3 linked regions of the Sus scrofa genome follow. The protein of the gene in region 1 interacts with the protein of each later gene in a pairwise test. Links are inferred from orthologs where the notes say so. Each region holds a gene or a part of one and is shown on either strand. Other genes may lie near its edges.

The links.
Region 2: the proteins of ARR3 (region 1) and ZNF496 interact in binary tests that used the Homo sapiens proteins (3 or more experiments, as listed by UniProt). The two-hybrid records come from large-scale screens. The link is inferred for Sus scrofa from reciprocal best matches to the Homo sapiens genes ARR3 and ZNF496.
Region 3: the proteins of ARR3 (region 1) and GNMT interact in a two-hybrid assay, tested with the Homo sapiens proteins (2 studies listed by BioGRID and IntAct). The two-hybrid records come from large-scale screens. The link is inferred for Sus scrofa from reciprocal best matches to the Homo sapiens genes ARR3 and GNMT.

Annotation. Positions count from the first base shown.
Region 1 is NC_010461.5:56,308,194-56,311,392, reverse strand, and holds the end of ARR3 (arrestin-C), read right to left. Parts: intron 2,510-3,199; coding exon 2,426-2,509; intron 2,193-2,425; coding exon of another isoform or gene 2,186-2,192; exon of another isoform or gene 2,161-2,185; coding exon 2,137-2,160; intron 1,966-2,136; coding exon 1,913-1,965; intron 1,627-1,912; coding exon 1,617-1,626; intron 1,052-1,616; coding exon 952-1,051; 3' UTR 886-951; downstream 1-885. UniProt on the Homo sapiens protein: May play a role in an as yet undefined retina-specific signal transduction. Could bind to photoactivated-phosphorylated red/green opsins.
Region 2 is NC_010444.4:57,052,250-57,056,216, reverse strand, and holds the start of ZNF496 (zinc finger protein 496), read right to left. Parts: upstream 2,801-3,967; 5' UTR 2,470-2,800; intron 2,282-2,469; 5' UTR 2,053-2,281; intron 168-2,052; 5' UTR 1-167. UniProt on the Homo sapiens protein: DNA-binding transcription factor that can both act as an activator and a repressor.
Region 3 is NC_010449.5:38,036,936-38,041,158, reverse strand, and holds the start of GNMT (glycine N-methyltransferase), read right to left. Parts: upstream 2,801-4,223; 5' UTR 2,758-2,800; coding exon 2,552-2,757; intron 1,584-2,551; coding exon 1,456-1,583; intron 1,308-1,455; exon of another isoform or gene 1,016-1,307; coding exon 899-1,015; exon of another isoform or gene 760-898; coding exon 617-759; intron 518-616; coding exon 396-517; intron 318-395; coding exon 146-317; 3' UTR 1-145. UniProt on the Homo sapiens protein: Catalyzes the methylation of glycine by using S-adenosylmethionine (AdoMet) to form N-methylglycine (sarcosine) with the concomitant production of S-adenosylhomocysteine (AdoHcy), a reaction regulated by the binding of 5-methyltetrahydrofolate.

The sequences.
Region 1 (3,199 bases):
ATGATCTTAGTAGGTCAATTCCAAAGGCTGGCTGCAAAAGAGAGTCAGATACTTACTCTCTACCCCTCCTCTACCCCCAATACCAGGCAGTCTTAGAACCAGAAGTGGAGAACAGCCCTTGAAAAGTATCCTGGCTCAGCTTCTCAACACTTACAATAGATAACTTTGAGAAGAATCCCCAGGTAAGTCAACCAAAAAAGGGGGCAAAAATGTACTCTGATGCCTTAGTGGTGGGCTCACCCAGCAGGTGCCTTTGAAGTTGTCGCACATAAAGCAGGTGATGATAAGTAGGATAAGCATTACCCTGGGCAGGAGGAAGTTGATTCCCCAGAGAATCTCCCACTCCATTCCACACCATCACACCTCCCTATCCTCAAAGCCCAACCTGGGCCCCCACCGCTCTGCTCCCTAAGGATTGCATGGTTTGGATTTGCTCAGGACTGGTATTTGGGTGTGATGGTTTCCAGGCTGAAGCCTTGGCGGTGGGTCTCATGGTGCACGGTATTGCAGCAGGTGGGTGGCATTTGCTGCATGAAGTCACACGGCACTCTCTGTCGACCTGTCAGCCTCGCCCCCAGGCCTGGGCCCTCCCCACGGCTCCTGTGGCTCTCATGTAGGTGGGGCAGCTGGGGCCTTGGGTGATTGCAGGGGTGGGATTGTTGGATGGGGGCATTGGGGCAGGGATGGCCAGGGCTTGGAAGAAAAGCTAAAGGAGCCACAGAGGGCGGGTGGCCTTTGCCAGAGGGAAGTCAGGGATCATTTAGAAGAAAAATGCATGCTACAGGAAATCTAATCACTGATGGGGCAGGTGGTTGGCAGTGGTTCATTCTAGGTAGTTCCATTACCCTCCAGGAGGAAGAAATACCAAAGAGATCAGCAGGCACATCTGGACAAGCTGATTTATTAGAATGTTACAGTGGGGCTCCCACACAGAGGCACAAAGCTAGGTGCTCAGCTGCCCTCATCCCCCTCAGCCGCCAAAGCCTCCTGGCTCTCTTCTCTGCCACCGGGCTCCTGCCGAGCAAACTCCTCGATGACTATGTCCTCAGAGCTGGTAGAAGCAGCAAAGGGGAATAGAGGGTTAGGAACAATTGTCTGAGCGCCTTCCACATCCACTCCCATTTCCTGATCCCAGGGAAGTGATCCCTTCCCTGCTTCCCAGCTCAGATCCTCACCCCTTCTCAGCTGCCCCACCCCACATGGACCACACTGGCTTATTTCCCTCACTCCCTCCCCAGTCTCCCAACACAAAAGTCCCCCTTGAGGGCTGGAGGGGAAATAAGAATGGAGTGTGGGAAGGAGGGAAAGGATGGAAGAATGAAAGGCAAGTGAAGTAAATGCGAGGAGGTGGGGGGTGCAGGAGGAAAAAGAAAAATGGAAGGGCTGAGGGGGAAGGACGATTGGGAGAAGAGCAGGAGGTGGAAGGCGGGGGATGCAGAAAGGAAAAGGAGGGTGTTGAAAAGCACTGAACTATGACACGAAGCTAAACCATATGTTTCCACTGTACACCTATTGAAAGCAACACTCCAGGGGAGCTTTGTTCATTTCCATCCTCATAGAATGGAGAGTAGCAGTGGGGAAAGGGGGCGGAGTTTCCAGGCCTCACATTTTCTTACCTAGCAGCCTCTGCAGCAAGCATGGAGAGGGAAGGAAATACGGAGCAGAAGCTGATAAGGGGCTCTTGGGTTTCCTGAGGAAATGTCTTGTTATTCTTCCCTCCCCCTTTTAAACCCTCTCTCTCCCATAAACACAACACACACACCCACACATGCACCCTGAAATCTAGTCACCCAACCTACCTATTACTATTCAATCTCTATCTAAACTGCCAGTTTCCGATTCATGAGATCAGCACTGCTTAGGCCCCAACCCTCGGGATCACTGCCCATGTAAGTCCCACCTTGTCACTCACCATTTGATGGCTTTGGGTGCATTAGGATCAGGGGCAGCTCCACGCCGACATCACTGCAAGGATCCCAATGTGGAGTTACAGATCTCCCTCCGAGTCTGCTCCCTGATCCTCTCCCCCAATTTTCTGGTGCTGGGATGCCCTTAGATTCTCCCTCGTCACGCTTTGGGTCTCTTGATCTCATCCTCCCCTTCTAGCCCTGGTCCCCTCTCCCCACCATCTCTTACCTGGCTGTCAGGTCGCCTAGGATGCTGAGGATAGAATGACACCCTAAAATTAGCAGCTGGAAATGGAAAGTAGCAGCCTAATTTTACTGGGGGATAAGGGATTGTAAAGCCAACTCAGCCACAGAATGGGTTTCTGGAAGGGAAGGTGGCTTGTTCATGAAGCTTACAGTTTGGGGCAACTGGTCCAGGAGAAGCGGTGGGTATCAGATTGATTGGGTCAGGCCAACTGGGAGGAAAACAGAAGGGGCTCCCCAGCCCCTGCCCAGACAGACCCTGCACCCTTGCTCACCCGCCACAGGACACCATCAGGTTGACTCTGACTTTGTAGGACACCAAGATCCCCAGCAGCTCCTTATCCATTCCTGGCCGAAGACTGGAAGTGGTAGTATTTGTTGTATGTTTGTGGGGGTGGGTGATTCATTGAGTCCCCCCAGTCCTTTCTTGTGCACCTTTTGTCATCTAGGAGATCTTCCAGGCTCTGATCTCCTGTTCCTTGGGACCGCATTACTGTTCCTCAAATCCAGTTGTACCATGCCACCCTCTGCCCAGGAGCCTCCCTCTCTGAATATAACTACTACACTCCTTGGCTTTCACAACCCTTAGCCATTGAGCCCCACCTTGCCTCTCTAAGCTTCCTACCTGAACCCTCTAACACCTAGGGTGCAACCTAAGCCAACCTATCTTCTCTCCATGCTCAGAGCATGCCCCACGGATTTCTACCTTCCAGCCTTTGCCCAGGCTGTGCTCCCAACCTGGAATGTTCCTTTCTTCCTCTATTGCTATCCAGATCCAACACATTCTTCAAGATCTAGCTCATTCTATCTGTTCCAGGAATCCCTCTCCAGCTATGCTGGCTCCTTTTAACTTCTATTGGGTTTATAATCTGAACCACATGTACTAGCACTTAACTGTTAGATTGCATTTACATTCCTTTGTTCCCCATCTAGGCTGTAAATTGACTGAAAGCAGTGACTGTCTTAAACTCTTTTGTATCCACCCACATTGCTTAGCACAGGAATGAGCATGTCGCTGGTGTTCAGTGAAAACCCCCTGAGTGAAAGCT
Region 2 (3,967 bases), on another chromosome or scaffold:
ACCAATGGGGCCACATGCAGGACAGAGATGTAATTAACACTGTGTGGTACCTTCAGTGGCCAGGTCCTCCTGGAAAGGACCTGATATGGACAAGATGAGAAGGCCGCTACCTTGAGGCTTTGGAGCCGAAGTCACCGTCCTTGTCCTTGAGACCTTTACAAAATGAGCTGGAAAGACAAAGACAGACATGCACAGGAAAAGCCTTCAAAAGTGAATCCAGATGAGAAATTCATCCTGCAGTAGTTAGAGTGAACTAGCAGTGCTGGAACAACACAGAGCAAGAATTGGCCTTGCTCAGTGGAGTAAGCACTGATAGGCAGAAAATGAAGCAGATAGCAGAGAAGATACCCAGACAAGAGATGGGGAATCTTAAGAGGTGGCTACACCCTGAGTTTACTAGAAGAAAATAACACTATGCATTTAAAAATATCAGTACTCTTGGAGTCTCCATCATGGCTCAGTGGTTAATGAATCCGACTAAGAACTGTGAGGTTGCAGGTTCGATCCCCGGCCTCGCTCAGACGTCGCTCGGATCTGGTGTTGCTGTGGATCTGGCGTAGGCAGGCAGCTACAGCTTCAATTAGACCCCTATCCTGGGAACTTCCATATGCCACGAGTGCTACCCTAAAAAGACTAAAAAAAATGTCAGTACTCTCTGAGGAGCCTCTGCACAACTCACTAGTCTGAATGGTACACAATAACATTTAAATACACACTAGTATTTTTTATTTATTTATTTATCTATTTTTGTCTTTTTGCCTTTTTCTAGAGCCGAACCCGTGGCATATGGAGGTTCCCAGGCTAGGGGTCTAATCGGACCTACAGCTGCCAGCCTACACCACAGCCACAGCAACTCAGGATCCGAGCTGCATCTGTGACCTACACCACAGCTCACCGCAACGCCGGATCCTTAACCCACTGAGCGAGGCCAGAAATCGAACCCACAACCTCATGGTTCCTAGTCAGATTCATTAACCACTGAACCACAATGGGAACTCCAATATACACTAGTACTTAAAGATGTCCACTTTGCCTTCTCTTGTCATCTTCAATCTACAATAAGAAAAACCATGCACAACTCACAGCCTTTCCTAGGCAGGACACAGGTGAGGTGCTCAGAGCACAGCCTCCACGACTTCAGGGGCCCCTCTACCTCCCCAGTGAATACATATAGAGCAACAACATAGAGTAGCAGCCACTATTCCAGACTATGGGTCCCAGAAAAGATGAAGGGCAAATGGGGTCACTCTTCCCCAACCATCGGGCCTCTGAAATCCTTGGACAGGGTCACTTACTCTCCACATCTGGTTTATAAGGCTCCCCAGCAAGCCAGCCCCTTAACCTCCAACAGCTCAATGCCCCCACCCATCCCCCAAGGGTTCCGTGCAAAATGGAGGCTTCTTTCCCATTTCACAGGAAGACAGGTGAGGCTAGAAGAGCAACAATGCCACTAAATGGCAGTCAGAAAAACCCAAACCTCTGGACCTCTGCTCTCCAACATAAAGATAAATGCACACTGGTATGAAAGGGCTCTGAGGGTATCTGGTTGGACACCTTACAACTTGCCCCACCAATACCAATGGATTTCCTCCAGTGTTTGCTCCTACATCTGAAACCCAATCCCAGCCCTATCCACTCCACCTTCCCTGCCATCACACACCTACAGGGCCCTAGATTTCTCAGGGCTAGGGGACCCGTGCCCCCACCCTAAGTCCTCAGTGTCCACTCTAAAACACCTAGCTCTGCCCATCGTCCCTAACTAGAAAGCCATGTTCCTCTTTGTCGCCCTGGCATCTAGCACATAGGAGGCTCAGGAATGAAGCTTGATGAATGAACTAACGTAGGTCCCTGGAGGATCCCGTAGGGGGCGGGGCGCACTTAAAGCAGCTCTATAAGGAGGACAGAGTTGGATTAGCAGAAAGAGAAGGGGATGGGCATTTTGTGCCAGGGAAAGGGGCAAGCTTTTCCTAGCTCCAGATCCCTCTCCCTCTTCCCTCCCTACACATCCACACCCATGCACGCCTCCAGTTTAACCAGCTCCCGGCTCCTCACCTCACAGCCTGGAACTCCTTCCCAGCGTCTAACTCAAATCCCTCCTGCTGCGGCGGAAGACTTAGGCAGCAGCTCCTCATCCTTCCAGCGCGGTCTCCCGGGTGTCCTTCCTGAGGCGGGTTCTCTGCAAGGGCCAGACTGTTCCTGGCTAGCCGAGACCCCGTCTCCTGCTCATCCAGAAAACCAGGGCTCCGCTTAGGAGGGAAGAAGTAGGAGCAAATGGAGACGCCTGAAAAACAACATTTGTGTTGTCTATGCCCCTGCCCGAAGATTCACCTCTCGGCTCGGGGAAGGGAGGGAGGCCGGAGCGCGCGGGGCTGGGAGCCAAGGGACCTGGGAGCGCGGAGCCGGGCGCGCGGGAAGGCGCCGAGCGGGCGCGCGGGCCGCAGAAGCCTCGGCCGCCCGGGCCGCACTCACCGCCGCGCCGCGTCCCAGTTGGCGCGCCGTGCAGGCCTGGCTGCCTCTGGAGCCCGCCGGACGCGGAGAAAAGGAAAGGCCGAAGCCCTCCGGCTCCCTCCCCTGGGACACTTCCTGCTCCGCTCTAGGACCGGGGAGGTCTCCGCATCTCAGTGGTTCGCTCCTCCGTCCCCGGGCCGAGGTGTGCGCTGGGGGTGACATCCGACACCCCCGGCCCGGCCCGGCTTGCGCGCCCCGCCCTGCCACGCCCCGCTCCGCGCGCGCCCGGGGCTCGGCTCCTGGCCGGGGGCTTTGTGGGTCCGCCAAGCCACGGCTGCCCAGCTTCCCCGCGGGCTCGCGCGGGGGACGCGCGCCGAGGCGGGGCGGGAGGGAGGGGCGTCGAAGGCGCGGCGGGAATCGCGCCCGCGAGCGGGTGGCCAAGTGGAGAGGCTGAGGACAAGGTTGGCAGGAGGCTCACGCTGGTGCGTCCTGCTGTGGGCCGCCACCGGTTTGGGAAGGTCGGTCTGGAGGCTTATCTCTTCGCTGTCCTCCTGTCTCGGACTCCCCTAAGGGTTTGTGGACGCCCAGAAGGGTCGATCCTGGAGCCAAGGCTGAAAGCTGGAATTGGGAGTGGGGGGCGGAGAAAAGGCTGTGGTGCATCGTGGAACGCTCCATTTCAGAATCCCCGTGTGACGCCCCCCCCCCCCTCCGGCAGGCCCAACCCTCTTCCAGCCGAAACCCCTCCTCTGCGTCCGGCCCGCGGCCGCTGAATGGGCGAGGAAGGTAGGAGAAGGGAAGTCTTGCCGCCCCGCTTAGTCCAACATCAGATGCTCAAGGTGTCAGCCTGGGCTTTGGAGGGATTTGCACTTTCCCAGCTGTGCGTCATTCGTCCTTCTGAGCATCAGGACAACCCTGAGGAGTGAACAGAGGGTCCCCCGTTAGTGGTCGGGGTGCTTATTGCTCCCTTAAGTGTAGGGTGTAGTTAGCTGTTCACAGAGGGATGAGTTAAGCAACTTTGGCTTGAAGTCAAGTGTCAGGGGGGCGAGAAGAATTAGGGCCTCCAGACCCCCAGACAGGGCTACCTGCCACACTATTCTAGACTGAACATTGCTTGAAGGCTCAGAGGGATCTTCCCGGGCTAATTCTTAATCTTCCAGGTTCAGGAGCTTGGGAGAAAATGTATTGGGGTCTCCCACCAACCCTTCTCTTTCTTCATGTGCCCAGCACTGAAGTTAGACTCTCCCAGGAAAGAAGGCAAAGAAATTTACCATTTACAGGGATACACTTCTGATCTTGATTTCCCTCAGATCAAGCAGGGCAATATGAGTTCCACGAAAGAGAGAAAGAGGCCTGGCTGAGCAGGTGAGAAAGAGGTGGATCGACTGAGGAACTGGATTCCTTTGCGCTGTTGCTTTCCTTATTCCATGGAGTTGGGAACCTTTTGTTTCTTCCTCTAAATTATGAATAATCACTTCTGAGTATCAGAGTTACTGGGAGCCACCATAAGTCATATGCTTGG
Region 3 (4,223 bases), on another chromosome or scaffold:
TCCCTGCCCCCAGCTGCAGCCCACCCCTTCCCACACCCCCGGATCTGCACTGGGGGTTGGGCTCCGTGTGGGGCTTCTGGTCCCCTCCTCCACAGACGGAGCCTGGCAGCGCCTGGGCAGAGGGCAGTGGGAGCTGAGGCCTCACTCAGTCCGTCTTCCTGAGCACGTGGATGAAATAGCAGGGAATGTAGGCCTGGCCCGGCTTGTAAGGCTTGAAATCTCCTAGGACACTGTGCTGGCACTTGCCCCCGAAGGCTGTTTGTAGCAGCTCCGTAAAGGATGCCAGACAGTGAGGGTAGTAGGAGAGCCGGAACTTACTGCAACAGAGCCCCCGACCAACCATCAGGACTGGTGTGTCAGCGCCCCCTGCCCAAGCCCCTGCCTCGCCAGTGTACCTCAAGCCAGGAGAACCTCTGTGGCCAGTCCCCGGCACCTGCACCGTGTAATCGAGGGTCACCATGTGAGCCTTGTTGTTCACTGTCAGCACAGATGTCGTGATGTCCTTGATCAGGTCACTCTGCAGGTGGGAGTGCCAGCTGTGTTAGCTTCTGCAACTCTGGTGGGGCCCAGAGAGCCCACCTCCCACTCTGGGCCCTCCCTCCCTCAGGGGCCCCACCTTATAGTAGATGTTCTTTCCTGGGGGTGCACAGCCTGTGCTGAGGATGTGGTCGTAGTTTCGATGATCAATGACCAGCAAGCCCCCTGACCGCACCATGCTTGTGATGTTTTTCAGGGCCAGCCGGTGCTCACTCTGGTCCCCTGAACTCCAGGAAGGGTAGAGAGGCTGCGTCTGCTCAGGGCCCGGGCACCAGTCTCCCTCCCATCTTTCTCCTTCCCCCTGCGTCTGGAAAGGGTATGGTTCAAAGCAGGGTCTACGCCCAAGGCCACACCCTCTCACCTCTGCAGTCTGGCAAGTGGGCAAAACTGTTTCCAAGGCAGATGACAGCATCGAAGCCACCCATTGGTGACTTGGGCACATCTTTGTCTAGAGTCATCCAGTTGGCTTCTTCAATGACTGGGGGCCAGGAAAGGGAAGAGGGAACAGGCTGGTACCACAGTACAAGCAGCACCCGTGTCCACCAAGTGCAGTCTTGCCTCTCTTTCCCCTTCTAGATACACACAGGGCCTCCCCAGGGGAGGGGATCCCGAGGGAGGGGATCATCATGGACATGGAGGGTGAAGGAGAAGAGGGGTCAGGGGAATAGGAAGCTGTGGTGGGGAAGGAGGGCCCTGTGCTTATGGGTTTCTTTTGGGGGAGAAGGATAAGATACTATAAAGGTAATTAAAACTAGCATAGTCAATACCTCGTTCTTGTGCCTAAGCCTCCCTTTTTAGGGATTTTACTGTCCCCCTTGAGGAAAACAAAACCCCCCACCACAGGAGCTAAAGGAGCCAGAGCAGAGAGAACAGTGTCCTTGGTGGCTGGGCCGAGGGGACCTGGCTGGAGCTGCCTACCCCACTTGTCGAAAGCAGGCTCATGCCGCCGGTTCCAGCGCTCTTTAAGTGCATACTTGAGCATCTTGTCACTGGCATCCACACTTGTCACACTGAAGCCTTCTTCCACTAGCATGATGGAGTCCACCCTGGGCAGGACCAGAATCCCAACAGGCAGAGAGGGGTGGTCAGGGAAGGCAAGGAGGAGGCCCTGTGCCGGACACTTCTGTCTCCTCAGGTCCTCAGAGTCCATTTTTCTGCCTGTCCCCAGGCTCTCTCCACTGACCTCAGTGACCTGGCATATCTGATTCTCATCATCAGGTAGCACCCTTTTTGTGTTTTAGCACCTATTCCAAGTCAGGCATTCTACAAATGCACATGAATCCTCATTGCAGTCCGGTAAGGTAGATGGTCTTATCCCCATTCGAGAGATGGGGCAAGCTGAGGCTTCTGGATGTTAAGTAACTTGAGCACAGGAGGCAGTGTAACATGGGGGTTTAGAGCACAGGCCAGACCCTAACCCATCTGGGTTTGCATCTCCTCTCCACCTTTATCTCTCTGAGGCCAAATTCCTACAACGGTAAACAGCTATCACTACCCACCTCATGGGGTTTTGTGAGGATTTTAAAACCTCATGTATCAAAAGCACCTGGTACAGTGCTTTGGCAGGGGCACATGTTAAACAAGCGTTAACTGTTAACGCTGCCGGAGGCCATCATACCGGGGAATGACCCTGGAATGACCCTGGAGCCGGGTTCCAAGCCCCAAAGCCTGGGTCCTTGCGCCGCCCCAGCGAGATCGCCTTCTCCACCCACAGTGCCCACACCCTCGCTCTCACCCTGGGTCTCCTCGGCCCCCTCCTGCCGTCGGCCTCGCCCTGCTCCTCGTTCTGCCTGGGTAAACACTCATTCCTGGCCCCTGGCGTCGCGCCCCTGCCTGGCTCTAGGTCGGCAGCGGCGGAGGAGGCTGCCCGACGTGCCCCGCTGTGGTACTGCGGTCGGGCGACCCCGGCCGGAGCAGACCCCGTCCCCCGTCGCCTGTGTCCTCCCGGCTCCTCTTTCCCCCTGGCCCCCGGATGCCTGCTCATCCCAGGTCCCTGGCTTCCGTCCGGGCTCACCCGGTACCACAGGCCACGTCGAGGACTCGCTGGCAGCCGTGCTGTCGCAGCAGTCCGAGCAGCCAAGCCTTGTACTCAGCCGTGCGGCTGCGGGTGTCTCCGATGTACAGCTGCCACACGCGCGCCGCCTCTCCGTCCGCGTACTGGTCCGGGAGCCCTTCAGCCGCCACCCCCAGGGAGCGGGTCCGGTACACGCTGTCCACCATCCTGCGAGGCGCCTGGCTCCGCAGCCACCCGCTCTGCATTTATAATACGCCCCTGCCGGCGGCCCCACCTGCCCAATGGGAGGTGAGAGCGGGGACACGCCCCTGCTGGGCCCTGGGCCCGCAGCCGCGGCTGCCCGGGTAGGCACGCTGGGAGGGCGCTGCCTGGCAATCCTAGACCAGCCCTTCCCGCCTGCCTGAGGATCCTGCCCTGTGGATGATCCCTCGGCGCAAAAGGACCTTCCCAACCCCTGCCCACTTAAGCCAGGTCCCAGGGGAACCTAGGAGGGGTCAGAAGGGGGAGCTGGGGAGTTCCCGTCGTGGCGCAGTGGTTAATGAATCCGACTAGGAACCATGAGGTTGCGGGTTAGGTCCCTGCCCTTGCTCAGTGGGTTGAAGATCCGGCGTTGCCGTGAGCTGTGGTGTAGGTTGCAGACACGGCTTGGATCCCGCGTGGCTGTGGCTCTGGCGTAGGCCTGTGGCTACAGCTCTGATTCGACCCCTAGCCTGGGAACCTCCATAAGCCGCGGGAGCGGCCCAAGAAATAGCAAAAAGACAAAAACAAAAACAAAAACAAAAAACAGAAGCGGGAGCTGGAAAGAAACTTCACAGTCCACAATGAGTGCCCAGGGCAAAACCGTCCCTACTGGGGGGGGAGGTGGGGAGGTAGGGTGGGGGTTATTAGCATATATAAAGAAGGGCTGCCCCGCCCAAAGAGGGCCTGGTCAGCCAGCGAAGGGAGGGATGGGAGTATCTGGGGATGATGCTGGCTTGGCCATCCAAGTCTAGGAGCAGTTCTGGCCCAAGGGGTCATCCCACCCATCTGGGGGCAGGTGCTCCTCTGTCCTGTAGCTGATGCATCAAGCTTTTCCCTGAGCCACTTGAGATGGAGTCTGATTCCAGTTCCTCTCTAACCAAGCACCCCACTAATGGCTGCTTTCCACAGAGGTGCCCACAGACTGGGCAGTCCAGAGTGAGGGGTGGAAGTGCTTGCTCTTGCTCTTATATCGCTCATTATCACCTCATAAATTGGTCATTTGGTTTGGTTAGTGTCAGCCACCCTCCTCCCCAAAACAGGTCTCTTCCTGGACAAGACCCTGGACTGAGATTCAGGAAGGTGGTGCCACCCAGGGAAGCCCAAGACAGCAAGAACAGCCTTCCTCACCTATCTTTTGGCTTCAGAAAGTGCCGAGGTATGGAATTTAGAACAAAGGAACCTCCCATCCGCTGCCCCTTTTACCATCAATAGAATCCTGGAGCTGGGGAAACCCCAAAGATAGGTCATCATTCTTATCTTTCTATTTTTTAGCACCTAGGCCCCTCAGATGGGTCAGCCCATGCCCCAGTAGTGGAGTCTTGTGCTCACACTGGCCCTACAGACAGGTCTTTGGCAGCAGGCTGAGAAAGACACTGTTGTGGGGAGTTTACAGTATGATTTTTTTTTTTTTTTTAGGTTGCTGGCATGAGGA